Linked DNA regions of Ovis aries. The protein of the gene in region 3 interacts with the protein of the main gene of each other region in a pairwise test. Links are inferred from orthologs where the notes say so. Each region holds a gene or a part of one and is shown on either strand. Other genes may lie near its edges.

Region 1 (3,283 bases), on a different chromosome or scaffold from region 3:
CCATCACCTGGTGGCCGCGTGGGGACCAGGACAGGAAGCTGCACCTGTGAGGCCTATGGACACCACAGGGGACGTGCTGGACGCCCACCGGCCAGGGCACAGGACCCTGCATGGACTCTGCCTCCTACACCCACCCCGCTTCTGGGAACAGGAAGCGATTGAGGGCGAGCTGTGTTCACCCTATTTATACCAATAAATGAGAGGAGGGAGTGGGGAGTACTCCCGGTGGGGGAGCCCCCCGCCAGCAGCCAAGCCAGACCCAAGACTCAGCCAAGGTCACCAGAGCCTGCTACCCCAGGCCACCCCAGTCTGCCCACAGTGAGGCAGAAGGAAGGGGCGAGGGCTGGGTCTCCCCGGCCGTGAGGTTCCAGCTCCTCCTAGCTGTGCGCTCAGAAGAGCCACCTGCGCCGTCTGAGATGCTGGGAGCAGGCTGCATGGCACCCCGATGACCTGGTGGGTTCCCCCGGGGCCGGGGGCCCCTGTTCGGCTGCTCTAGGGTCGGGGTGTCCCTTCTGGACCAGAGGGAAAAGGTAACGAGCAGAGCACGGGAGCAAGCGTACAGACCGCCACCGGGCTTTATTGCTCAAAACACAAGCCAGACACGGAGAGTCGACAAGGAGCACGGGAGGACAGAGCCCAGACCCCCAGGGTGGGCAAGTCCTGGCTACCTCGGTGGGTGACCTGCCCACTCTAGCCTGTGACCCAGGGGCTGGAGGGCCTCCCTAACACCCGCCCAGCTTCCTCACAGGCCAGAGCCACAACCCTGCTCCACACACAGCCAGCTCTTCCCTCCCGCAGCAAGGAGACCCCCATCGGCAGGAAGGACTCCGTCAGCAGGGAGACCCCTCTCAGCAGGGAGACCCAGCAGAAGCAGGAGTGACCCCAGAGCCCCACTTCCTGGGGAAGGATGAGCCAGGAGGTGGGCAGGGCCCTCGCTGCTCCAGGGAGGTAGACAGTCTGATCCACGGCACACACAGGAGACACGCACACGCACGCACACACACACGCACACACCCTGCCTACAGCCCACAGCCCTTTGACCCCGGCGCAGGCCTAAGGAAGATGGTCCCAGAGGACCCCTGAAGGCACGTGTCACACCGGGCTGGCCGCACGGTAGACCCTGCCACCCCAGAGCTCAGCCCAGCTGAGGGCTGGGGGCATGCTGCTATCCCCGGGACACGGCCTGCCTCCCAGCCGCCAACCCTAGCAACCCCCAGAGATGAAGGTCCATCTGGAAGCAAAGACTGGGTGCAGCCCTGGGGCTGGCTCCAGAAGGCGGGCGCAGCCCCCCAGGCTCCTGGGAGGAGCAGGGGTGGAGCCCCAGAGCCGCGCACGGCTGGCCCAGGCGGGCCAGGCCCAGGGGAGAGGCCTGCTTCTGTGCTCGTCCATGGTGCCGGGACCAGAGGCCGGAGCACACCCCAGCCAGCGGTCAGGCTGCCAGGGCTGCCGGCCGGGGCACTGGAGGGGCGTCTGGGGGCTCCCATGGAGGAGACTGGCAGGGCCTGGGCGGTGGTGGAAGGCCAGACAGAAGCGGCCCAGGCAGCTCAGCTCACGGGGTATGCTCCTGCCTGGGAGGCCAGGAGGCCCGAGCGGATGTACCCCCACATGGAGATGGCACCCACATCCCCAGGAGCAGCTCCTCCCAGGCCTCCAGCCGGTCACAGTGGGTGGTCCCGCCAGCCACTCGAAGTCTCAAAATCCACCCCGTGGCCTGTGGCCGGCCAAGCCAGGCCAGCTGGAAACAGTGGGGCCAGGAGGGTGTCTGTGCAGAGCCCTGCAGCTGGTCACCCCGAGGCTCCCTCTGGTCACCCTGCTGCTGCTGGTGAGGCCCTCCGAGCCCTCACCCTGCCCCTTGGCACTTGGCTCAGGGTGATGCCAAGGGCGGGGCGTGGCGGGGGGCAGAGAGAGGACTCCGGGCGTGGGGACAGGTGAGCAGGACTGAGAGAACCAGATGTGGGCTCCTCCCCAGACCCCTCGGGGTCCATGCTCCTCGGCACAAGCTCACTCAGACCAGGAGGCAAGCGGGGGCAGGAGGGCCCCAACTCCCTCACAGCTCCCCCTCCAGGGCGTCTGTGAGCTTCTCCTCGTCCACCTGCTGCCTCTGCTGCTGGATCCTGGCATAGGAGATTGCATCGCCCCTGGGGAGACAGGGCAGTCAGCGCCACACGGGGGACAGACCCCAGACACGCAGCCGCCCAGCCTCTGCCCCGTTCCTGGCCTGGGGCCCTGGGGGGGCCCTGCCTAGCGCCTGCCACGCCCCCTGGTTTCCCCAGATGAGACCCTGTCACTGAGGATGGCAGAGACCCATCCTGTCGCCTCTGAGAGTGGCCTGGACTGCTGGGGACGTGAGTTGAGGAGGACTGGGGCCCTCAGGCTGTGCTTTGCGGGACTGGGGGGGGCATCGGAACACCAGGCCGGGAGCAGGCCCGATGGGCAGAGGCTCTCCAGGAGCTGTGCCCCTGCGCCCCTGCCAACTCTGTGCCCCAGGGGTCCCGTGAGTTCTCCCGCCTCCACCCCTTAAGAGCTCAGACGCCCCGGAGGCGCTGATGAGGGTCACTGACGGTGGTAAACGGCCGCTCCCAGACCTGCGTCCCCAAGAGGCTCTAGAAGGGAGAGGCCACCCCCACTCCCCCTGCAGCCAGGCGGGGACCAGCGTACGCACTTTTTGCCCAGCGCAGACAGCCCATACAGCACCCCGGTGGCGAAGGCGATGGCGTTGCCCAGCAGTGTGGTCAGGGTCAGGCTGATGACGACGGGAACAACCGCCATCCTGCGGGAGGAGCAGAGGTCACGGGGCAGGCCCGCCCACCCATGACCACACCACCACTTCCTGCTGCCCAGGCTCACCCAGCCCCTGCCCGGACAGCGGGCACAGGAAGGGACCCCGGGCATCAGCTGGGACACAGGCTCACAATCCAGCTTCACAGAGTCCTCAAACACCCATGAGCCTGTCTGCAGAATTCTGTGCACTGGGGAGAGAACCCGAGGCTTTCATCGGATTGTGGGGAGACCTCCCCGGTGGCTCAGTGGTAAAGATCCCCCTTGCCAATTCTGCAGACACGGGTTTGATCCCTAATCCAAGAAGGTCCCCTATGCCACTGAGCAATGAAACCCATGGGCCACAGCTACTGAGGTCTCGCTCCGTACAGCCCATGCTCTGCAGCAAGAGAAGCCTGCACACCGCGACAGAAGCGCAGCCCCGCCTGGCTGCAGCTACAGAAGGTCCAGACAAAGCAACAAGGGGCTGGCACAACCAAAACACAAGCAAGATTATTAAAAAAAG
Region 2 (3,394 bases), on a different chromosome or scaffold from region 3:
GGGAGCCAGGCCAGCCCTCTCGGCTCTCTCGCCCGGGAAGGCAGCCAGGGGAGAGGCCAGCGGGATGTGGGGAGAGGGGCCTGGAGGCAGGGCTGTCCCGCTGGGCGGAACAGTCGGGGCAGAGCAGGCCCCTGGCTTGCAGCAGAATCAGGGTGTCTCATGGGCTGAGGTCCCCAAGGCCTCCCAGAGGGACTGTAGCACTGAGCGGCGGAGCCCCGGGCTCAGGGATGGGAGATGGTGGGGACCCTGGGGGACAAAAGGTGCTCTGTAGTCGGGCAGCCTGTGGTGGCCCCACCTCTATCACTGGCTGCCTGAGTGACCCTGACCTCGCCAGGCCTGTCTCCTCAAGCATAAAATGGAGACGGCCCAATACTCCGAGCAGGGCGGGGGTGTCACTCCTAGCAGATGACAGCCCCCAGTGTCCTGCGGTACTCACACCCCGCAGTCAAACCTTCCCAGCATCCTCCAGGTGGAAGATTCTCTCCATTCCTACCTCTGGTTAAGAGCAGGGCCTCCTCCACATCCCCTCTTCCTCGTCTCCGGGGACCATCTGTCTTAGCACTCGTGCCAAGCACAGGCCTGACATACAGTAGGTGCTCAATGAAGACTCACAGACAAGGAACGAACTCAACCCCCAGGGCACCGCACACCTGCACACACGTGTGGACACCCCCAGCACCTCACTGCCCCGCCCACCCGAGTGGCCCTGGACCTCAGTGGAACCACCTGGAGGTGCCGGGCAGGGCAGCCAGAGAGGGAGCAGGGGGGCTGGGTGTGGAGGGAGGGGGCAGGGGGCGGCTGGGGTGGCTCAGGGGCAGGCGGGGGGCAGGTGGTCCCTGTGGCTCAGTAGCCCTGCGACTGGTAGCCCTGGGGCTCGGGCTCGAAGGCGCTGGCCGGCTGCTGGTAGGTGCCGCCCATGCTGGTGGGCTCTGGCCCGGCGCTGGGCTCCACGTAGGGGGCGTAAGGCATGCTGGAGTCCTGGCTGGGGTCCATGTAGTCCTGGGAGAAGAGGGCCGAGTCGGCGCCAATCTGGTACCGCTGGAAGGCCAGCACAGCCTGGCCCGCCTGGGGACGGGGGTTGGCAGGGACAAGGACAGGCGGGACGGGGTGGTTAGGGGAGAGACAGACAAGAGCACTGGGTTAGTAGAGGTTAGTCCACAGGACACGGACAGTAGAGGGTTAAATATCCTCAAAACACGCTTGAGGGGGGATGGAGGAAAGCTGTCCTTAGAAGCCAGCCCAGAACCACACTGTCCAGCCCATAAGAAGTCTGGAGATCACCTACCTGATGACCCCTAACGCCAAAGGTTACTGAGGGCAAAAAAAATTTCTAGAGTCTCCACTCTGGAGTGTTAAAATGACCTAAGCCCCATAATATCCTTCTCCAACTGTGTTCTTAGGATGTTAGATGGGATGGAGAAAAAAATTTCTTGGTGGGACAGATAAATGTCGGCCTCTCCTAAAAGTCATTCTGTCCCTCTTGCAGCTAGGCATAGCCATATCACTAAGCTCTAGCCAATGGGTCGGCCCCAAGTTCTCTTCTCACCCTTTGACTTGATGCCTAGAATGCAGATGTGAGAGCTGACACTGTAGCTGCCATAATGGACCATGAGGTCCACGAGCCAAACTGTAAGGCTGGAAGAGGCCTCAGTCACTAAAGACTTCCGGAGTCACTTATGCCAGCCCTGGACTGTCTTCCCAGACATAGACTTTTTTTTAGATCACTGTCATTTGTGATTTCTGTCATTTGCTGCTGAACCTAATTCTAACTGAAATGCTTAATCAAATAAGTTTGGGAAACTGAGTTAAACAGAGGACCACAGGAGTCATCAGAGCTCTGATTATTTCATGTATGCTGGGATCCCCAAGCAAGCAACCACTTATCTGACCACTGAAGCCCTTTTTACATACAACTCAGTTGGGAATGACTTGTCTACAGCATATACACATAGGTGGGAAACCCTTTTTAAGTAAAAGCAATTACATTATTATTAAGGACAATGAAACTGATCACACCAAGCTAGGGAATAAGTTAAACCTGTCATTAAAAGACAGTGTTTACAGGTTTATGCTGAAAGCCTTCTCCAGAGGTCTTCCCAACCAAGGTCATCTGCCTGTGATGGGAAAATGCTTATGTTCTACATACTTCTGTGTGGGGGCCAGGAAGACTGAGGCCTAGAAAAGGGGGCCTCATGGCAGAGTCAGTGCCAGAACCCAGATCTGAACATAGGGGTCCTGCCCCTTCCTAGGCCAGGGCCCTCCCCATCTCCTTCCTTTTGATCAGCCAGCTGACAAGGCACTAAGTCAACCAGGAACCTGAGAGGACCAACAGGTGAGAGGCAGGGGCAAAGTGCCAGGGGCCTGGAAAAGGCAGACCAGACCTCAAGGAGGTAGGCCGAGGAAATCAGGAGCGGCCCTTTCGTATTTTCCATGATGTTACTATGAGGTCCTGGCTACAGGGTGCTCAGATGCAGGGGCCTGGGGAAGGGAGATGGGAAGCCCCTCCCCCACCCAGGGTAGGGACCACGTCTCCAGCCCCCTTGAGCCATCAGCGAGTCCACAAAGAGCACAAAGGGAATGGATGAATCAGTTCCTGAGAGGAATTTCTGCAGACATGGTCCTCCCGAGCTCCCTGGCTCTACTGCTATCCTGCACGGAGGCAGAGGCCTGGAGCCGATGACCTTTGCAGACCCTTCCAGGGCGGGACTCTGGCTACAGGCAGCTAGTGCTATCTCTGCAGTCACTCCTTCAACCCAGCTGAGTTAAGGACTCTCTGAGCCATCCAGTTCAAAGAGCCACAGACAGGAACCGTGGAGGGGGTGTGGGCCCCTGCTGGGCCTGGGTGCAGAGGTGAAGCTGGGAGTTCTGTTCAGAGCCCAGGGACCTAGTGGTCCACCTGGCTCTACTTCTTCAGAGCAGGCGCACTCTCTGCGGCATCTCCACTGCGCAGGGCTTTGCCCTGGGGGCCGGTCTGTGTTCCAGGGCAGCTGAGGGCCCCAAGGAGCGAACCTGTGCAGGACTGGAGGCCAAGGTCCTTTGGAAGATCAGGGATTCACCACACAGGAATCACTCCCAAAGAAGAAGTTATGAAGGTGTCCCTGACTCCTTGGAGAGAATGAATGAATGAACAAAAGAACTGACATTTATTGAGCATCTCTGTGCCAAGCCCTGTGTCAACCTTCGTTTCATCTGCACAACAGCCCTGAGAGGTTGGTTCATTATCACTTCTCAATCCAGGGAGGCAGACTGAGGCACGGAGTGGTGCATGGCTCTGCCCAGGGTCCCACAGCACACGAGAGCAGAGTCAGACCAGGAGTCCCCTGCTGTGCTGGGCCAGGCCCCTTTTGGCAGCCAGCCTCCACCGGGACTGTAAAATTGGCCTTCATATTGCAGC
Region 3 (4,031 bases):
CTTATACTTGTGAATTTATTCCCCATTACTGTGAGCTTCATGGAATCAGAGACCCACTAAAGACCAAGCATCAGACATATGTGAGAGATGCCCGGTGACAAATCAAATATGGAGCAGGAGAAAGACTGAGACAGTAGTAAGCGGGAGGGATGAGCAAACCCTGATGTGAAAGAGCTGCTTACAGATTCTGTTCCTCCAGGAGCTGTACTTTGTTCTGTAGCTCCAGATTCTGGGCTGTGTATTTCAGGACCCTGGAGGAATAACAGGGATGTGGGGACATGGCCTGTATCCTCCCTTCAAAAACCTCACACTTCCAATTACCTGTTTCTCCCACCCCCGAGTCCAGCTCCCTTTCATACCTGCTTTCTAAACCCCCCACATACACCTTCTTCTTCCTACGGCTCTCTTGAGCAGACTTTTTGTTTCGAATCTTCCTCCGCACTCGTTTCAGGACTTGTTCCTCCATCTGGGAGAAGACAGGAAAAGGGATCCCATCAGAGGAACATTAGACCAAAGAGTTTGAAGGCAACCGAGTTCAATCTTCTCAAAGCAGAGATTCCTTCTACAATTTCCCTGACCAATAGGCACTCTGCTTCTGTCTGAATGCTTCTGTCCTCACAAGCCAAACCATTGTAACAATTTTGTTAGATAATTTTTTTTTAAAACCTTCCTTATGAGCCAACATCTGCCTTTGTTATTTCTACCTGTTGGACTTACCTAGCACCTAATCTCTGGGGCCATAATAGAACAAAGGTCTTCAGCTATTTTAAAGCACTTGGCATTTCTTCAGAGTTAAAAAAAAAAAAAAAAACTGGGCAAAAATTTTAACTCATCATCTTATCTCTTCTCAGGATGGACTGCATCTTCTTAATATCTGTCAAAGATAATAGGCTCAAAACTTAAGAAGCTTTTTGGCCAATGTAAAAGAAAACAAGATAGTTACTGCCCTTCTAGTGGCAACACTATTAGATAACTGGTATCTGATGATACAACTGGGCTTCCCCAGTGCCTCAGCAGTAAAGAATCTGCCTACAATGCAGGCGACTCAGGAAACACAGGTTCCATCCCTGGGTTGGGATGATCCCCTGGAGAAGGAAATTGCAACGTACTCCAGTATTCTTGTCTGGGAAATCCCATGGACAGAGGAGTTTGGGGGCCATAGTCCATGGAATTACAAAGAGTTGGACACGACTTAGCGACCAAACAACAACAACTAAATCTGATGATACAGCTTCTAAACCCCATTCTCTTCCTTAGTAGCCATATCACACTGTTGACTCAACTTGTACTTTTTTTTGGCCACACCTCGCACTTGTGGAATCTCAGTTCCCAGACCAGGGGATTGCACCCTGGTGCAGACCAGGATTGCACCCTGACCCTGAGCAGTGAAAGCACAGAGTCCTAACCACTGGATTGCCAGGGGATTGCCTCAACTTATATTTTTGAGAAATTAAAATTGTTAACCTTTCTGTTAACAGACATTGATTTCATCATAGTATCACAATACTGTGCATGTGAAACTGCCTCTCATTGCTTGAAACTCCAAATTTCACATTTACTCTTGTTATACTACTTAATTGTTATACTACTTGTTATACTACTCTAATACTTGATTTACTATTCAGCTACAAGTAAATTGCATGAAACCAGTGAAATATAAGTATCAGAGCCCCGCGCTTGTACAGTACTTTCCAAATCCCTTTACTAATATTACCCTGATAATTTTGAATTCTTAGTTAAAAAGAACACCAAAATTTATAAAAGCACTACAAACCAGGATCTGTCCTTGCAAGCAGTATACTAACCACATGCCCCAGCTTCCTACTCAAAAATGTGCTAATCTCTCACCTCAATTCTTTTTCAAGTTACTGATACAAAATTAACAGAACTGGCCTACTTGGAACTCACAACCCCCGTCCCCGCGATGGGAGACTTACCTTAGTGAGTGGAAGCATCCCAGGCAAAGTAAGCCCCTCCTTCTCCAACAGCCTTTTCTCCTCCTCAGTCAGTATCAGCCTAGCAATCTCCTGCGGTTCCGGAGAGATGGGCAGCAGAGTTGCAAAGGGATTTCAGAAAGTAACGCGGAATACTGCCCCGACCCGCGCAATACGGAAATAACCCTCCTATAAGTCAAGTACCTGATCTGCCGGCTCCTCCACACACAGTGGAGTCATCTGAGTCCCCTCTTTTCCATAGCTCTCATTATCTGCAAAAGGGAAAATATGAGTAGTCAGGCCTCGGAGTCCTCTCCTTTCCCAAACTTCACTTATTTCAGGCTTACCTAGATCTATGGAGACATGCTCTTGTGAGAGAGAATAGGTGTGGTCATGCTGGACAAGACAGGAGTTAGAGCTGCTGAAAACGTTCAACGATGATGGGGGACTCGGCAGGCAGCTCAGGAAATCCTCCACGTCCCAATCGCTCAGAGACTGCACAGGGTTCAAATTGACAGGCTTTGACCATCACCACCCCCTGCCTCAGGGACACCCCTACCCCGCCCACAAACCCGCCTCACGCCTCCCCGACTCAGAGCCCCCCACTCGCCTCAGAAAGTGGCAGCTCCCAATCCGGCGGAGACGCCAAGGCCTCGTCGGGCGCCGCACCCAAACCACCGCTTTCCTCTAGCAGAAAGCCTAGCAGGTCACGGTCACCCGGGTCCAACGCCAGCTCCATATGAGACATTTATGGAAAAGATGCGCAGAAACACAGGAGTTCACCTCGCCACCCGGACCCTATCCCCAACCAGGCGTAACCGCGACGGACTGTCAGTCGGCCCCACCTATCGGCTCTTCAGCGGCGTTTTCCTCCTAGCTGCTGGCGAAGGCTCTGAAACCGGGACACGCCTTCCAGACTCCACTCCCCGCTAGACTTCCAACAGAACACAAGTGACGCACCTACCCGCGAGGCATGCCGGGAGTTGGAGTCCCCCACCCCACCCCGACGCGGAGGCTGCCGCTGTACGCGCCACGTCCAGGGCGCGATGCAAATAGAGGGGACGTGCCTTCCGCCTCCGCAGTCCCTGAGGGCGGGCATTCTGAGGAAGCGGCTCCGCCCCGGGCTAGAAAAAGGAAGGATTACAGCCTAAAAGGGAACTAGGGCGCAGTTCTGGCGCTTCCTCGGGACTGCACCGCACCCTCGCTTCCGGCTGGGGAGGGGCTGCCGGTCGTCAGCGGGCTCCCGAGCATCGAGAGCTGGGGCCAGAGCAGCTTCCTGCAGTGCCCGCGACCATAGAGCGCGGGCCCAGGGCGCCGCCCGCGGGTGGGGGACGTTCCCGGGACGGAAGTGGCCGAGAGTGTCGAAGGGAGGGCGAGGCCGCAGCCCGAGAGCCACCGGGAGAACGAGCGGGTTAGCGGGCCGGCGGGCGGGGCACAGAGCCGGGCAGCGCAGGTAGGCCGGACCGGGCGAACTGGGGCCTCAGGGTGGGGCCGCGACACCAGGCCTGGGAGGCGGGCGGGCAGGGCCCCTGACTTCTGCGTCTGTTTCGGGTCATCTTGGAGAGGTTCGCGTCCGGTGTATCTCTGCTTGTGCTCTGAGTTAAATAGGCAGTTTTTCGGCAGCCAGGCCCTTCCTGGAGCAGTCCTCGGCCTAGGATAGTTTAGAGGGAGGGTGAGGAGTGGGTGGCAGTGTGACGCAGGGCGGGGATCGGCTTTGAGGTTAGCTGATAGCGGGTACGTGAGCAGGAATGGGTGAGTTGGAGATTAGGTGGAGTTGGGTTTTAGGAGTTAAGGTTAGCTTTAGGAGTGTGCAGCTGGGGTTAAAATTTAGATTTATTAGTGTGAGGTGCGTTTTGTGTAGGTGAGGTTTGGATTAAGGGCATTATTTTGTTTTCTATAACGACCAACATTAGAGTTCAGGTTAAGGGTCAACAACAGAAACTAAGTTAGAAGTCCAGATTTAGGGATTAGAGAAGGTTAGCATAGCCAGTACAGGGGATAAACAAGAAAGGGGTGAATCAGGAATCAAGTGACAAATGAACTTTAGGTTTAGGGATGAAGATTCAGGGTTAAAGGTCCAGAGTTGATGCTACAGGT
Region 4 (3,306 bases), on a different chromosome or scaffold from region 3:
CTGAGCCACTGCACACCTCTCTAGGCCAGAGTCTGGGAGGAGAAAGGGGCCCAGCTTCATTGAGGACACACAGGCCCCTTGTTCGCCAAGAAGTCTGCCTTGACTTCAGTGTCAGGGCCTGGTGCCAGGCAGGGCAGAACCCTCCGGCTACAGCCTCTTCCTGCTGGTGGGGTGGGGGTGGGAGGTGGAGCTGGCTGCTTTTAGAGAGCTCCCTCCCCAGGCTGTGGGGTGAGGACAGAGTGGAGGGGGCGACTCAAAACAAAAGAAAGATGGCGCACTGTCTCCACCCCCAGGCCTCCAAAAGGAGGAATGAAATGGCAAAAGGAAATAGCCTTTCTCCATCTCAGCCAACAGTCTGGGTGTCCTGGATCCAGGCCTGTCTCTCTTCTGTGGCCCCAGCAGGAGGCACTGTAATGCCTCTGAGACTAAAGAGGACCCACCCCATCCCTAATGCCTTGGACCCAGGCCCAGTGCTGGCCAAGGCCCATCTGGGTCATGCTCATCCCCCCAGACTCAGGCTGCCATCCCTCTAGCCTCTCCAGGGTGTGAACCCATGGCTGGAGGACACAGGGAGCCACGGAGGAAAAAAAAAAAAGTTTATTTAACCAGCCTTTGAAGGCCCCTGGTTTGAGTATAAAAAAAGGCAGTATAATGGCAAATGTACAGTGTTCATGATGGGTAGAACATGGAGAGGTGGGAGGAAGAGGCACATGGGGAGAAGGGGACTGCAGAAATCCCAGATCAGACTTCAGAACAAGCAGTCCTGGCCCCCGGCCACCCTTGGTACAGGCAGACAGACAAGACACACAACTCTCTGAGCCTAGGAACCCCTGCCCGGGCAGGCATTGGTCAGAGCCAAGAGTGGGGGGTCCGCGTGAGCAGAGACTGTGTCCCCTCCCTTGACTCTGACCCTCCAGCCCACAGTGTCCCCATGTTCATCCACAGAGCTCTCTCCTCGGGGCCTGGATGCCGGGCCCAGCACAGGCCATGAGCAAGCAGAAGATGGCTAGACAGGAAAACCTCCAGAGGACCCCTGCCCACCCCCAAAGGGGAAGGCAGGAGCAGGCAGCTGGTGCCATCCTGCCGTCCATCCGCGGTCACACGATTGCCCGGAACAGGAAGGAGAAGACGGCCCCCAGGGCCAGGCCCAGAGACAGAAAGAAGGCCATGATGGCTCCAGCTGTCTCCGCCTCAGCCGGCTTCACTTTCCTAAAGGAGGGAGGGCGAGCCGACCTTAGGACATCCCTGACCCCAGTCCCCTGCCCCACCCAGAGCATCTCATTCTGCTGACCCACTTGTCTTCCTCTCCATCTTGGTGAGGGGGTGTGTACTGAGGCTGTCTCTACCTTTCCCTGGGAGCCCCTCCTCCCCTCCCACTGCCTGGGCCCCGAGGGCCAGTGGGCTCCTCTCTCAGCCTGGAAACCCTGAGCTCCATGATCAGGAGTCTCCCTCTTCCCACTTTCCCTCTGCTGAGGGTCCCCAGCTGGAGCACTAGGCCCTGCCTGAGGCCACCATACTCCCCACTCACTTGGGCCCGAAGCACATGCAGAGACTGGCAAGGTAGCCGTTGGAGAAGGCGAAGGCAGCCATGAAGATGATGAACCAGGCGTCGTGCTCAAAGATCACAGGCAGGTTGCGGCGGGGCTGGACGTTACACAGCAGCAGCAGGGGCACGAAGGCCAGCCGGGCCAGCACCAGGCTCGGGAGCCAGTAGCTGTCCTTCCCAGGCTGCGGGGACCAGGCCACGCCACGGTCAGGCTGGGCCAGGCCCCGGGGCTCCATTCGGAGGCCCTCAGGATCTGAATTGAAACCTCCAAGCCTAGTTACCCTTGTAGGGTACTGATCGGGAGTGGCCATGGTAGATAGACCTTCTGGCCATGTGCTGCAGCATGACCTGGGTGGTGATCACCAGGAGCGTGTGTATGTTTATGTGTGTGTAGTCATTAAACTGTACATCTACAACTTGTACACCGTACTATACAAAGATTATGTCTCAGTTTTTTAAAAAAAGCATGGTCCGCTTTCCACCATACTTTCTTGGTCCCCTCCCTGGGTGTCTCAGTCTGGACTCTCCCATCTCACAGGGGCTTGGTGACCCTCCTTCACTTACCCACATGGTGATGGCTGTGAGGCTCCGGCCCAGCCAGTCAAAGACATTGAAAGTCAAGAAACAGGACACAGGAATGAAGTAGGCCTCTGGAGGACAAAGAGTAGATTAGGAGAGGGTTAGTGGGTCCAAGAAAGGCAGGATCTAGCAACCCTGACTCTCCCTGGGACTTGGGTTTCCCAGCTGTGAAACGGAGAAGGTGCTTCCAGGCCGGGGAAGGGTGAGTGGGCCAGCAGAGCCTGGCTGCGGAGGCAACAGCCCAGGCTCCCCTCGCCCAGGCTCCTAGCCCTGCTCTCAAGCCCCTGTCCTTCCCCATCCTGGGAACCCGTGGTTTCCTCACTCCAGGCGCTGGTGCCCGCAATGCTGGACTCGACCTCAGCTGTCACGGCAGGAAATATCCCAATGGTGATGGTGAAGACGAAGCAGACGGAGAAAGCCGGGACCAAGATCTGGAGGAAAGGGACCCTGGTCTGTGTCTTCGTGGTGGCTGTGCATCATTAAAGAACCAAGATTCCCCAATACACACACAGGCGTGCATACATGCAGGAAAATCCAGCAAAGGGGCCAGTCTCCAGCCAGAAAGGGAGGGGATGGGCATGGGGTGAGAAAGGATCAGAAAAAAAGGGATGGGAGGGGTAGGAGGCAGGATGCCCCAGCCCTACATACACTTTTGAGGATAGTGCGGACAGAGTGGCTTTCCTTGGTGGGCTGAGAGCTGGGGGCCGAGAATCGGGTCTCCTCTTGGCCTGGTTTTGCTTCCTCTCCTGGGGGGTGACAGGTGGTGAGAGGGTCTTCAAGTTGTGGGAGGAACAGAGCAACGGGAAATGACACAATCCCCAAAAGGGCTGGGGTCAGCTGGGGGTGGATACCCCCTTAAACCAGTGCACAGCCCCACCCAGCTTCTCTAGCCCAGCCCTGTTTACTGGTGTTATCCCTCACTACAGGAAGCTCATTCTTGCCCACAGCTCATGCTGCCCCCCTGCTGAGCAGCCATCCTCCACCCCAGCTTCCTCGGGTTCTTCGGACCTTTACTAATGAGGTCCAGCTTGGTCTCCTGCTCCCCGGGCCCTTTGAGCTTGAGCTGCCGGTAATAGCGGTAGAATTCCTATCAAGGGAAGGAAGGTGGATTCAGAAGCAGAATCTCCAGAGCTTCTCCCTCCCACAGGTTTCGTCCCCTTGGTCTGGAGCCCTGGACCCCT
Region 5 (4,207 bases), on a different chromosome or scaffold from region 3:
CTTTACTGTGATTCACAAAGCAGCTTTATGATACCCATGGCTGGATCCCACCAGAAGGCAGAGAGCAACATGGGCTCAGAAAGATAAAACATGGTGCCTCCAGTTCAAGTGAGCAGTCAGTCCTGCCCAGACATCACCGCACTCACAGATGACCAAGTGGCCCAGCTCAGGACAAGACAATATAGTCGAGCAGGAACACCAACCCTGGAGTCAGATAGTCCCAGAGTTAAAACTCAGCTCCACAATCACTTCCAGGTTTCAGAACCTTAGACAAGTTACAGTCTAAGGAGTTACAGTTCCAAGTTACAGTCTTGGAGCCTCAGTTTTCCCATCTATTTAACAGTGGTAACATCTCATAGGGCTGTTCTGAAGACTGAATGTGCTGACAGATGTCAGTGGGCAGCCTAGCACCAGGCACAACTTCCACCAGTCATCAGCACCAAGGGCAGTAGAGGAACGGCAACAGACCTGAAGCCGCTGACCCCTGGAGAGAAAGAAGGTCCAGCCTATGAGACAGTGAAGACGAAAACGAAACAGAAATCGGAGAACCTCCATGTCCCAGGAGTGTCAAAGGAGATTCAGGAGAGGGTGGAGTCAGGCCTAAAGCAGCACACTGACCGTCGGGAAGCTAACTTTGAAAACTGGCCAATCACTGGCTCTCTCACCAAGGAAGGAAAGTTCTCTGGCAAAAAAACAGGTGACCGGATCTACACTCTGGAATCTCACCTATTTCTATGTCTCTGACCTGCACACTCTGAGTTCCTACAAATACCAGGTCTCAGGATCACGGCCACACCCTGGGCCCTCAAGAGTGCCAGGTACAGAGCAGGGTATATTCTAGCAAACACTTCCTGAAACGTCTAGAGCAGATACTGGTCTGTGATCAGAGTCACATCCAGTGAGCTGGAGAATTCACTACCCAAACATCTATAACCCTCTGCCCTGAAATGACACCACTTAAACACATGCTTTCTCCTAGATCTCCAAGAAGTCTAATCCAGACTTTTCAGCCCCTCTGCTCCTTCTGAGAATAAAAACGATATCCCTCATTCCACATCCGCAGCTCAAACCCAGTGACCACAGGGGCTACCAGCCCTCTCTGCTCAAGAACAGACTCATGTCCCACCCTGGTGCACTTCAAAAGTCCAAAAAAATTGCTAGAGTTTTCGAAGTTTAACTCTCACTCCAGCACCCTGTCTGGGCTTGCACGTGCCTGCATCACACCATTTCCTGCCAACCTCCATCTGCATAAAATTAAACTTTCTACAGATCCCAGGAGCCAGGGACACACCCAACAGCGCAACGCACACCATGGCCAGCGTGGCCACACACTGGCCAAGGTCTTAACATCCAGTCTCAGGCCCTCCCAAGGATGTGGGAGGGCAGAGTCAAAAAGGGAGGTTCTCTCAGGAAATGAGCAGACCCTAGATTTGCTACCCAACTCATTCCTCAGGGCTGTACCCATGCAGTCGCTCCTCATGAGCGCTCACACTCTGAGCTCCTCCCTGGCATGTGACCAGCTGCCAGCCTGAAGCAGCAATCTCAGAGAGATTATGAGCTACCCATGGGCAAGGATTATAGCACCATCATTGTCTCCTCTCCCTCCTCCCTCATTCCAGCCCCAGGCACACTTTAAGCAAAAGCCCAGTACACAGGAGATACTCCAGGAATGAACAGAGATCGGCCAGGCTAAAACAGTGACAAAGCAGGCACTCTCTGGGGTACACCATTTCAGAGCACTGGACAGGATAGAAGGGCCTATCATAAGCCACAGACAATACTCAGTTGCCACCATGTCTGCCTGCAGATCTCTCAGAGAACTAGGGTGGCCGAGTATGACAGCATCTCTGGGATGAGGCCCCCAGCCAACTCACCCCATCTTTGCAACGTGGCTTCCTTCGCTGGGACACACAGTGGACAGAGTTGGCCGTCTACAAATGAGGCTCAAGAATAAAAGGATTCAAAGCCCAAATATCCTATGAGTAGGGAGAAGTGAACAGAGAGGCTGGACCTGGAAGCCCAGAACAAAGTGAGAACCTGCACCCTGGAAGCTTCAGAGACTCTCTGAGCACAAGCCAAAGGAAACCACGGTTCATTGAACAGAGAATTAAATCATGGAATCTGCTATCCCAGATATGACGTGGGCAGCAGCTTGCAAAACCGTCCTCTAAATTCTTAGGGGGACAGTGGATCTCTGCAAAATCAGGAACATCTGAGAATGCCCTAAGCTGCAAAGCAATGTTCCCCAACTCTTGATCTCAGGGCCAGGATCTCCTCCAGAAGGGCTGAGGTTGTTGAGCTTCAGACGGTTTACATCAAGCAGCACAAGCCTCAGGTATCACTCTACAGCAGAAGACACCAGCCTCAGCCTTGGGAGGGACTTTGATATTCTTCTCCATCTGAAAGGTGTCAATTAGAAAACAGAGACCAGGGGCCTCTGCCCTGGAAAAGGAAACTTCCTGCATCCACATTCATGCTGCAAGGATTCACTGAGCACCCTCCACATATAGGACACAATACCAGGCACTATCTTCTCACTTGAGCTCTCTGGACAGGGTCTCTATGCAGCTATCCACTAAAGCGTCCCTTCCCCCATTTCCTTGCTTCCTCTAGAGTGCCCAGGTCAGCTTCCATTCACACAGGCTATTCCTCTGTCTGGGTTACCCTTTATTCAACCTTCATCTGACGACTCCAGCTCATGGGTCACCTCCTCCAGGAAGTCCTCTGGCCTGAAGCATCCTGTCCTCTACCAAGTACCCACAGTCCAGTGCTCCCTCTGAGCACAGCACTCACCACACTGACCGGGGCCTGGCCTTTCCTGGTCTCCAGTCCGCGTGCCCCACTAGGCCAGCAACTCCTTGCAGTTTCTGATAACACTGAAGGGTTCGTTTCTTGAATTAGTTAACTAGTTACAAGTCTCCGCGGCTACTGAGGCAAAACTGGAGAGAAGAAAAAAAGAAACTTTTATCATCCAATAGCCTGTCTTAACGGGAACCAAACAGGATCAAGGCTACAGACTCCCAAGCCTCTGGATGGAGGAGGGTGGACCTAACACCAAGCGGCCCCTAGAGGCCTGCCCGGCGCCCCTGCCTCCTCCAAGCTCCGGGTGCCCTGGGGCCGGGCCGCCCCTTCCCAGGAGCCTGACCCTCGGGGCGGCCACGCTCCCCACCCGGTCCGGCCGCCCCGAGGGGACCGGCAGGAAAGGCGCCGCTGACCTCACCGCCCATAGCTCGGGGAGGGGACTCGGCGGCAGGACAGGAACCCACGCGGGTGCAGAAACAGGGCGGAGGGCGCGGGGCTGCGGCCCGGACAGCGCGACCCCCGGCCCCCAGCTGCCGGCCCCGCGCGGGCAGAAGGTTCGGCCCGGTGACCCCGGCCGGTACCAGAGCCCCGCGGCTGCCAGGCAGGCGGGACGCTCACCCGAACACGCGCCGCTCCCGGCGTTTCCAGAACCTCCCGCGGCGGCGCCGGGCCCGCTCGGCACCTCCTCCTGGGCGGCTCCGCCTCCCGCCGCTGCCGGGCTCCGCCCGCTTGAGCCGCAGCCACGTCCCCACCTCCCTCTCCCTCCGGGCTCCCTACCTCCCGCCCGCCCCCAGCCCCGCTCCCACCAGCACCCCCCGCGCGTCCCAGGCCCCCGGTTCCGCGCCCCGACAGCCTCAGCCAGGGGGCGCCACCGCCGGCGACCCCCGGGAAGACCCGGGCCGCCCGGCCGCGGGGCAGCGGGGAGCAGGGAGCGGGCCCGGGACCCGGCGGGGGCCGGCCGCCCTCGCCCTTCATGCGGCCGGCCGCTCGCCGCACGTACGCGGCGCCCGCCTCCCCTCGGCGCTCCCTTGTGGGGCTCTGCCCGCCCTCCTCCCCCGCCCCCTGGGCGGCTAGAGAGGCGCGCGCCACCGGAGATTAGTGCGGTGGGGGGAGCATCCCTGGATGCTGGCCGACTCCCCTGGCCCCAGCTCAGGCCCGTTTCCTCGGTGGTCCTGCTGGATATACCGCTCCTACCCTCGCCTCCCCATCATCACCATCAGGTGACTGGGAGGTGGGGTCACCCGGCCCTGGAGCTGGATTATCAGGGGTTATCAGGGAAGGGGACAGTGGAGAAGGACCTGAAAAAGATCTAGGATCCACCTTCAGGACCAGGTTCCCAAAGGGATTCAGGCTGTCCCCAGCTCCTGGATCCGGCACTCCCGGTGATGAAATGTGTGGCTGAATA
Region 6 (4,174 bases), on a different chromosome or scaffold from region 3:
GCCGGGACTGGCCCCCCTCCTTCTTGTCCGAGTTCCGGGCCCTGCAGTTCTCACTCATGCTCTGCGCCTTCGTGGGGGCACTCGGGGGCGCGGCCTTCCTGGGCACCGCCATCTTCATCGAGAGCGACCGCCGGCAGGCTCAGCTGCACGTGCAGGGTCGGTCGGGCCTCCCCTCTGTCAGTCCACAGTTCCCTGTCTAGCTTCATGATGCTGCCTGCTTGTCTGTCTGTCTGCCCGCCCAGCCCTGTGTACCTGGCCTCTCTCAGTCCTCAGCCCTCCCCTTCCTCGGCTTCAGGGCTGCCTGACCCATGAGCTCATGCCCTGCTGTGTGCCCATCAATGCTGCCCTGTCCATTTGCCACTGCTTGTTCGTCCCCTTCCTGGGCCTGTGTCTGTCTGTCCATCCAGCCCTGGCTCTGATTCTCTTCCCTGGCAGGTCTGTTGCCTGAAACCGGGCCCACCGATGACCGGATTGTGGTGCCCCAGCGAGGACGCTCCACCCGGGTCCCTGTGTCCAGTGTGCTTATCTGAGGGATCACCGCTTGCTATCTGCAGACCTATCACAGCTGGCCCTGGGCCCACCCCAGGAGGTGCCCAGGCCCCAACTCCTCGGCTAGCCCGTTTTCCGGGAGGGGCCTTGGGCCGTGTTCCAGCTCCCACACACTACATGGGTAGCCAAGTGGGGACACTGGGGGCTCGGGACGGGGGAGCCCCTGCCCCTGGAGCAGCCCTGGGGGCTCGGTGCTATTTGTAACTGAATAAAATTTGTAGCCAGAACCCCAAGTGCCTGCTGGAGTCTCTCTGGGTTAGGGACCTCTGATCTCTGGATGGTGGGGGATGCCCCCTCTCTACCCCCAGGGTCCCAGCGGCTGTCGGGTGACCCCCGTGGGCCCTGGGGCAAAGCCCTGTCCTTCTGGGCCGGTGAGCATTGGGGTGGAGTGAGCTGGCTTTGTGTGACCGTGAGTCATGCCCGTGTCTCCCCTAGAGCCCGCCCTCCGCAGGCCAGCCAGGGCGAGGTGGGGGTGGGCACACCCAGGGGCCCCTCAGAATTCCCGGTGTCGGAGCCTCTCTTTGCTGCCTCCGTGAGCCACAGCTGTGGAGGCCGCGGCCACTGACTGGCCTGGAAGCATCTTTCCCTCCTCACCCCCGCTATGAGTTGCCCCTTGCCAGGGAGACCAGCTGACCCTTCTGGAGGGCCCAGGGTGGCTCCTGAGGTGGCCTCCTCCCCCTCCTCACTGGCTGAGTGGGGGTGGGAAGGGGGCGGGTGCAGCTGGCTGAGCCCCGATGATTTCCTGCCCTCACCCGGCGCTCACCACAGCTTCCTGCCACAGGCAGGCAGGCGCTGAGGAGAGGCGGGCGCGGAGCGAGGGGCAGGTAGGGCTGGGGCACAGGGTCTGTGTAGGGGTGGCTGGTGCCCCAGACTCCAGCCCAGACCCTGGCCTGACCACCCTGGGGTCCAGGGTCTTCCAGAGCCAGCGCTGACACCCGCTCAGCCCAGCGAGGGGAGGGGATCCAGAGGAACCCCTGCCTTCAGGCTCTCAGCCGGCCGCCGGTACCCTTCCCGGCCTGGCCCTTGCCCGCTGCTTCTCTGTGTGGAGGGGTGTGCAGCGAGCAGCTGGGCCTGGTCCAAGCAGATGGAGGCGGTCAGCCTGCCTGTCTACGTGCTGGGGCCCCTGCTGCTGCCTCTCTTGGCCGTGTTGCTGATGGCTCTGTGTGTCCGTTGCCGGGAGCTGCCAGGTGAGTGGGTGCCAGTGGGTTGACCAGATGCCCAGACACACTGCTAGGGATCCTCACTCCATTCTCTGACCTCTTCCTTCCCTTTAACTGTCTGTAACTCTTTCTTGCACGCGGAGACGCTGAGAGCCCCATACTCCATCACCCTCTGCCCTCGTCACCCTCTTTTCCTGCCTCACGGGCCCTCTCTTCCCCAGGCTCATACGACACTGCCGTCTCCGATAGGTGAGTCTGCCTTGTCGACCCCGTTCGACTCCCTCAATGCCCCGTGTGGGGCTGGGCCCCTGGGGGCCTGGGGTGGGGTCCAGGGCCTCTCCCAGCTGCTGACCTGAGCTCTGTCTCTCCTGCCAGTTTGACCCCAAGTAGCATCATGATCAAACTGCCTCGTGAGTACATGAGTGTCCCCTCCCTTGGGTGCGGGGAGAGGGTCCCCTGGCCTGGGAGAGCGTGTGCTTTTGTTCATTTCCCCGCTGTGGCCGCCCACATGGCCTGAGCTGGGGGTGGGGAGGGAGATCGTGTCTGCCCGCCCAGGACTCTCCAGGGCCCTGGGGGTGGCAGGGGTCAGTCTGCCTTTCGAGGCCTTGTCCAGGGTAGGGGTGTGAGGTGTGGAGTCATTCCTTCAGCTTGGTCCTGTGTCCTCAGCCACACTCGTCCCACGACCATCGACCACTCCCTACCCGCTCCCGAGCCAGCCAGACCTGCTCCCCATCCCGTAAGTACCAAATCCCCTCTTTAACCCCTCACCTCCTTGGATTGGGGGCCTCTTGCCCTGTTGCAAGCCCTCTCCCCCTAGAGCCCCACCCTAGTATGACCTCTGACCTTTGACGCCCAGAAGGTCCCCGCAGCCCCTCGGAGGCTCCCACCGTATGGCGTCGTCCCGGCAGGACTCAGATAGCGGTAAGCCTGGAGCGGGACCCACAGGGCTGGGACCACTGGGTAAAGGCCCCCTCCGAGCTGACTCAGTCTCCCTCTTGCGTTCTCTCTGCAGCCAACAGCGTGGCCAGCTACGAGAACGAGGGTGTGACTGGGACCCCTGTGGCCCCGGCTGGGAGGCGGCTGAGACCCGTCCTGGGCTCCGCTGACCCTGTGTCGTTACCCCCAGAGGCAGCCTGTGAGGATGCGGATGAAGATGACTATGACGAAGACTATAACAATGAGGGCTACTTGTGAGTGGCCAGGTGGGAGGTGGGGGCCGAGGCCAGGGCTCCTCGCTCACCTGACCCTTGACTCCCGCAGGGTGGTGCTTCCTGACAGGGACCCGGCCACCAGCACTGGCAACGCCGTCTCACAGGCTCCTGCGCCCAGCAAACCCGGCCTCCGAGACAGCGCCTTCTCCAGTGAGTCGGCCGTCTGACCACTCCCTGCCCCTCCGTGCTGCGGCTCCTCGGTCTTCCCTCTCCTCCTGGATCCTTGCGCCCCTCCATCTTCTCGCTTCTCTCTTTCTAGCCCTCCTGTCCTTCAGCTAGGGGACTTCCGGCTCCGATCTTCTTTTCTTTTCTCTCCTCTTCCCTCTTGATCGTTTGCCTTTTTGTCTGCAAGATTTCCTTGACTCTATTCTTCTTTGGGCTCCGAGCTTTTGTCTTTCTTGTCCAAAAGCTCTTTCTTCATCTCTGAATATTCCTTTCTCAGAGCCTCCTCTCTTGTCTTATGAAGGTGATATCATCTTGCAGATCTCGAAGGATAGTGATGATCAGCTGTCTTTTTTGGGTTTCTTTGGAAAGTTTTCTTCTGCTTCCAGTGTTGTTTCAGTTTCCTTTGGGCTACTTTTCGCTCTTCGTTTTGGTTTCATCCTGCCTCTTGGAGGCTTTTATCAGTGTCTTGTGATCTTCAGTGTCCGTTACTCTTTTCCTTCTATGCTTGCTCTGTGCCATCGTGTCCACACCCTGGCTTAATTTGCCATCCGCATCATCCCTAACTCATGGCCTCTCTCTTGGGCCCCAAACCATCTGTCCAAGTGCTTATTTTCATTCATTCATTCACTCACTCATGTTCGTCCATCTACTCACACAATTCAGCCATCATACTTACTGGTTGCCCCTGAAATAATCACTGCTAATGAGTCTGAGTGAACTCCGGGATATGGTGATGAATAGGGAGGCCTGGCGTGCTGCGATTCATGGGGTTGCAAAAAGTCGGACACGACTGAGCGACTGAACTGAACTGAACTGAATGAGAAAAAGTCATGATTAAAGCAGCTCGCATTACTGAGGACCTCATACATTCGCAGCTAAAGAGTTTTATGTGTATTTGTTGTTGTTATCTAGTCACTAAGTCATGTCTGACTCTTTTGCAACCCTGTGGACTGTAGCCCAGCAGGCTCCTCTGTCCACGGGATTTCCCAGGCAAGAATCCTAGAGCGTGTTGCCATTTCCTTCTCTGGGGGATCTTCCCAACCAACTTATTAATATTAAACCTCACAATTCCCAGGGGCTTTTGAGCTT
Region 7 (4,134 bases), on a different chromosome or scaffold from region 3:
GCAAGCAAGGGCTAAGCAATATTAAGTGGCCACACAGACACAGATACTAGGTGGTAAAATCAAATGACATGATAAGTATTTGAGGATAACCATAATTAGGGACAAGACTTCTCTCCAAAGCTTATTCTTAGTTGGATACTCTGAAAATATCTGTCCTTACTCCACAGCAGAGAATTCACAGAATATTTTACCATAAAAGTAGCTGTTTCCCTCAATCATTAATTGTTTCATATGCTTTGTGCCTTTAGATAGATTCACACAAATAGATAAACACTTACAAAATAAGAACCGAGAGTTAAATGGATTGTGGAGGAAAGGAACAAGTGTGATGTACGAGGACATTATCAGTTTTATGAAAATCTGAAAAAGTTGCATTGATTCTCAAGGGAGATACCATTGGCACTTGCCATGCATACAAGTGTGTAAGTGCTCACGTGTGCCTGTGAGTCAGGGACAATTCTTTGTCTTAAATGCTATCCCTGGCGTTTACACATTTAGCATCCTTAACCCCCACCTGCTAAATATCAGAAGTTCCCTCAATGCTGAGGTCACCAAATATACTCCCGTACAGTTTCTGTGGATGGGCTGAAAACCACTGATTGTTGGATAAATATATTAGGAGAGAAGAAAGGTCTAGTCAAAGCTTTGGTTTATCCAGTGGTCATGTATGGATGTGAGAGTTGAACTATAAAGAAAGCTGAGCACCAAAGAATTGATGCTTTTGAACTGTGGTGTTGGAGAAGACTCTTGAGAGTCCCTTGGACTGCAAGGAGATCCAACCAGTCCATTCTGAAGGAGATCAGCCCTGGGATTTCTTTGGAAGGAATGATGCTGAAGCTGAAACTCCAGTACTTTGGCCACCTCATACGAAGAGTTGACTCATTGGAAAAGACTCTGATGCTGGGAGGGATTGGGGGCAGGAGAAGAAGGGGATGACAGAGGATGAGATGGTTGGATGGCATCACTGACTCAGTGGGCCTGAGTTTGAGTAAATTCCAGGAGTTGGTGATGGACAGGGACGCCCGGCGTGCTGCAGTCCGGGGGGTCGCAAAGAGTCAGACATGACTGAACTGAACTGGGCCTGAGTTTGAGTAAATTCCGGAAGTTGGTGATGGACAGGCAGGCCTGGCGTGCTGCAGTCCACGGGGTCGCGAAGAGTCAGACATGACTGAACTGAACTGCACTGACATTAACTATGCATCATGTGCCAGGTACTCTGTTAAATACATTCACACATGTTCATTTAATTCTCTAACTCCATATAAGGTAAGGACCTATTTTATCCCAATTATACAGAGGAGAATCTTGAGGCTCAGAGAAAGGCTAAACAACTTAACCAAGGTCACACAAATAGTCTTGCGACCACTAGTCTGCCTCCAAAACTCCACATCTCTAGGTTAGTGCTTAAGCATGGTTGGTATAAACACACATTTTTTTCGTTAAAGAGGTTCATTCAGAAAATATGAACCCTTATTAAGTAGGACCCAAGGTATACCTGTCCTTTAGGCATGAATCAGTTCCTTGGCTTGGGGCTGAGGGACCTCATGTTCAGTGAGGTAGCTATAAGCCATGGGCCAACAAGAGTTGGACGGGGTAGCTCCTAGGCACAGGTGTACATCAGAAGTGCTTTGAGTGAGTGTGCATGTATGTTTTCAGGCGTTAAGAGAGTTGTGCTATAGTGTGTGTGGTGTGCGTGTTTTATTTAACCCTTTCCATATCATCTACAAGGCACGGGGCATTGCTACAGTGGCCTGACAATGTCTCATTTCAGCATGTATGCCGGGATAAGAACAGAACAGAGCCGGCACCGTGTGTTGTGTAATGGGCTGGTGTCTGTGTGGCAGTACTGGAATGTTGGCTGTGATGTGTGTGCGCATGGCTGGCAGTTTGTGTTGTGGTACAGGCGGTCGTGTTTGGGGCTGCAGGAAGGGTTATGCGAGACGACTGGCGTACAACGCACAGTGGAGTGCATTTTTGTGGGCAGGTAGTGCTGAACCCTGGAGGAGTTCGGCGGGGAAGGTCTGGGTTACGTCCTGGGCCTGGGCATGGCGCGTGAAAGACGCCCGTAGACTGGGGTGTTTGCAGCGGGGACATGTGCTGTAAGTGGTGCCTACCAGATGAATCATGCGGTGTGCTAGGCGGGGACGGAGGCCCGAGAGGAGGGGGCCGGTGTCGTGATGCGTGGAGAGGAGAGCGATGCTGGGAGCCAGGGAGGAGGGAGGGAGGGCGATCGCGCCAGCCGGGCCACGCGTGTTCCCGGGGTGGCCCGAGGCGCTGCATAGGGAGAGGCGGTATGAGGACAGGCGTGAGGGTGGGTGGAGGATGGGCGTGGGTCGCAGGGAAGGGACGAGCGCCGGTCCCCGAGGAGCAGTAGGGGAGCGAAGCTGGGTGTGTTCGGGGACAGAGCCGCCGGCGGGCGAGCCCGCGCGCGGAGCAGAACGAGCCCGCTTCCTCTCCCGGCCATGGCTCTCCCCGCCCCCAGCCCCGCCGCGTCCCCAGCCAGCCCCTTCCCCTTCGCCCTCGGGCGCGCCTGGGCCGCCCCGCACCTGGTGAAGGCGAAGTACATGAGGCTGACGATGGTGAAGCTGAGCAGAGTGATGGTGTGCGGCCGGTAGAAGAAGTCGATGGTGATGTCCTCCACTTGCTGCTCGTTGATCATCCGGAAATGCATCTTGTAGTTCACATCATCTTTACTCAGGGTCCGGCTCCCCACGCAGGACGCCATGGCCCGCCTCCCGGTCCCGCGGCGCGGCCCCGGCCCGCGGAGGCTGGGAGCCTGGGGTCGGGGAGCGGGGGCCGGACGAGCCGCAGCGGGCGGGCGGGCTGCCGGGCGGACGCCGGGGCCGGGTTGGGTGAGCAGCTCGGGCGGGGCGAGCCGCGGGCGGGGCCGGCGCGGGGGAGGCGGGGCCGGCGCAGGAGGGCGGGGCCGGCGTGGTCCACGCGGCCTCGGGCTGCGGGTGGAGGCGGCTCGCCCGGCCCGGGATCCCGGGAGGGGCGTCCGTAGAGACGTGCGGCGCCTTCCCAAGCCCATCGCAAGGGTCTGCGGCGCCCACAGGGGAGGGAGACCGTGTGCCCCCTGCGGCCAGCTCTGTCCACTCCGCCGCGCGCCGCCCTCTCCCCACCCGCGCAGCCGCGCCGATGGTCTGGCCCACTCCGGCCGCAGCCCACGTGGGCCGACGGGAGAGCTAGCGCCGGCTGGCAGAGCGGCGCCGAGGGGCGGCCCGCGGGGTCCGGCTGGGCGGGCGGCGAAGGCCTTGCCACAGGTAAAGGGGGCGCGTTCCCTGCCCGGGGGCTCCAGGTCCGGCCCCCACCACCCTACTCCTTCTCGGCTCTAGGCCGGGCCCCTGAACCGCGTGGCCCCGTAGGCCTTCGCGGCCCCGCGGAGGGTAAGCGATGTTGTTTTTTCTCTTGGCGGGTGAGAAGGGCGCGCCGCGACGCTGGTGTGTTTAGCGCGCTTTGCCCGGTCGGTGGGGGCGCTGGGTGATGGGGCGGGGGGGACACGCGGAAGGAGGTCTACGTGGTGAGGGGGGCTTCCTCCGGAAGTTGGTTTTGGGGGAACCTAAAACGGACCTGGTAGAATGGTCGGGGGGGGGGGTGGGGGGTCGGGGGGGGGTGGGGGGTCGGGGGGGGGTGGGGGGTCAGGTCGTGTTCCCGAGGCCCCTGATTCCCAAGCCGTCCTCTTCCCCATCTTTCAATCTCCTGATCTAAGCCTCCCAGAGGTCGAAATCTTGCACCCTCGTCGAATGTATTTAAGCGCCAATGAAACTACTAAGGTGTACAGTGGAGAACTAGTCTATATGTGTTCAGTTCAGTCGCTCAGTCGTGTCCGACTCTTTGCGACCCCATGAATCGCAGCACGCCAGGCCTCCCTGTCCATCACCAACTCCCGGAGTTCACTCAGACTCACGTCCATCGAGTCCGTGATGCCATCCGGCCATCTCATCCTGGGTCGTCCCCTTCTCCTGCCCCCAATCCCTCCCAGCATCAGAGTCTTTTCCAATGAGGCAACTCTTCGCATAAGGTGGCCAAAGTACTGGAGTTTCAACTTTAGCATCATTCCTTCCAAAGAAATCCCAGGGCTAATCTCCTTCAGAATGGACTGGTTGGATCTCCTTGCAGTCCAAGGGACTCTCA

Evidence for each region.
Region 1: the proteins of CREB3 (region 3) and CACFD1 interact in a two-hybrid assay, tested with the Homo sapiens proteins (2 studies listed by BioGRID and IntAct). The two-hybrid records come from large-scale screens. The link is inferred for Ovis aries from reciprocal best matches to the Homo sapiens genes CREB3 and CACFD1.
Region 2: the proteins of CREB3 (region 3) and SYNGR1 interact in binary tests that used the Homo sapiens proteins (3 or more experiments, as listed by UniProt). The two-hybrid records come from large-scale screens. The link is inferred for Ovis aries from reciprocal best matches to the Homo sapiens genes CREB3 and SYNGR1.
Region 4: the proteins of CREB3 (region 3) and SLC29A1 interact in a two-hybrid assay, tested with the Homo sapiens proteins (2 studies listed by BioGRID and IntAct). The two-hybrid records come from large-scale screens. The link is inferred for Ovis aries from reciprocal best matches to the Homo sapiens genes CREB3 and SLC29A1.
Region 5: the proteins of CREB3 (region 3) and P4HA2 interact in a two-hybrid assay, tested with the Homo sapiens proteins (2 studies listed by BioGRID and IntAct). The two-hybrid records come from large-scale screens. The link is inferred for Ovis aries from reciprocal best matches to the Homo sapiens genes CREB3 and P4HA2.
Region 6: the proteins of CREB3 (region 3) and LAT interact in a two-hybrid assay, tested with the Homo sapiens proteins (2 studies listed by BioGRID and IntAct). The two-hybrid records come from large-scale screens. The link is inferred for Ovis aries from reciprocal best matches to the Homo sapiens genes CREB3 and LAT.
Region 7: the proteins of CREB3 (region 3) and PTDSS1 interact in a two-hybrid assay, tested with the Homo sapiens proteins (2 studies listed by BioGRID and IntAct). The two-hybrid records come from large-scale screens. The link is inferred for Ovis aries from reciprocal best matches to the Homo sapiens genes CREB3 and PTDSS1.

Annotation. Positions count from the first base shown.
Region 1 is NC_056056.1:2,591,301-2,594,583, forward strand, and holds the end of CACFD1 (calcium channel flower homolog), read right to left. Parts: intron 2,771-3,283; coding exon 2,663-2,770; intron 2,139-2,662; coding exon 2,048-2,138; 3' UTR 558-2,047; downstream 1-557. UniProt on the Homo sapiens protein: Transmembrane protein which mediates synaptic endocytosis and fitness-based cell culling.
Region 2 is NC_056056.1:216,623,853-216,627,246, reverse strand, and holds part of SYNGR1 (synaptogyrin-1), read right to left. Parts: intron 1,066-3,394; coding exon 844-1,065; 3' UTR 1-843. UniProt on the Homo sapiens protein: May play a role in regulated exocytosis. Modulates the localization of synaptophysin/SYP into synaptic-like microvesicles and may therefore play a role in synaptic-like microvesicle formation and/or maturation.
Region 3 is NC_056055.1:52,808,400-52,812,430, forward strand, and holds the start of CREB3 (cyclic AMP-responsive element-binding protein 3), read right to left. Parts: upstream 2,829-4,031; 5' UTR 2,683-2,828; coding exon 2,545-2,682; intron 2,430-2,544; coding exon 2,282-2,429; intron 2,207-2,281; coding exon 2,139-2,206; intron 2,028-2,138; coding exon 1,938-2,027; intron 467-1,937; coding exon 360-466; intron 252-359; coding exon 183-251; intron 1-182. UniProt on the Homo sapiens protein: Endoplasmic reticulum (ER)-bound sequence-specific transcription factor that directly binds DNA and activates transcription. Plays a role in the unfolded protein response (UPR), promoting cell survival versus ER stress-induced apoptotic cell death.
Region 4 is NC_056073.1:17,720,862-17,724,167, reverse strand, and holds the end of SLC29A1 (equilibrative nucleoside transporter 1), read right to left. Parts: intron 3,213-3,306; coding exon 3,134-3,212; intron 2,872-3,133; coding exon 2,774-2,871; intron 2,557-2,773; coding exon 2,448-2,556; intron 2,197-2,447; coding exon 2,111-2,196; intron 1,729-2,110; coding exon 1,529-1,728; intron 1,210-1,528; coding exon 1,098-1,209; 3' UTR 583-1,097; downstream 1-582. UniProt on the Homo sapiens protein: Uniporter involved in the facilitative transport of nucleosides and nucleobases, and contributes to maintaining their cellular homeostasis. Functions as a Na(+)-independent transporter.
Region 5 is NC_056058.1:19,976,363-19,980,569, reverse strand, and holds the start of P4HA2 (prolyl 4-hydroxylase subunit alpha-2), read right to left. Parts: upstream 2,837-4,207; 5' UTR 2,794-2,836; intron 1-2,793. UniProt on the Homo sapiens protein: Catalyzes the post-translational formation of 4-hydroxyproline in -Xaa-Pro-Gly- sequences in collagens and other proteins.
Region 6 is NC_056077.1:26,377,462-26,381,635, reverse strand, and holds the start of LAT (linker for activation of T-cells family member 1), read left to right. Parts: upstream 1-1,323; 5' UTR 1,324-1,633; coding exon 1,634-1,736; intron 1,737-1,852; coding exon 1,853-1,958; intron 1,959-2,084; coding exon 2,085-2,119; intron 2,120-2,375; coding exon 2,376-2,445; intron 2,446-2,565; coding exon 2,566-2,630; intron 2,631-2,721; coding exon 2,722-2,899; intron 2,900-2,969; coding exon 2,970-3,070; intron 3,071-4,174. Other genes in the region: SPNS1 (protein spinster homolog 1), read left to right, coding at 1-156, 436-530. UniProt on the Homo sapiens protein: Required for TCR (T-cell antigen receptor)- and pre-TCR-mediated signaling, both in mature T-cells and during their development.
Region 7 is NC_056062.1:80,865,729-80,869,862, forward strand, and holds the start of PTDSS1 (phosphatidylserine synthase 1), read right to left. Parts: upstream 2,851-4,134; 5' UTR 2,726-2,850; coding exon 2,547-2,725; intron 1-2,546. UniProt on the Homo sapiens protein: Catalyzes a base-exchange reaction in which the polar head group of phosphatidylethanolamine (PE) or phosphatidylcholine (PC) is replaced by L-serine. Catalyzes mainly the conversion of phosphatidylcholine.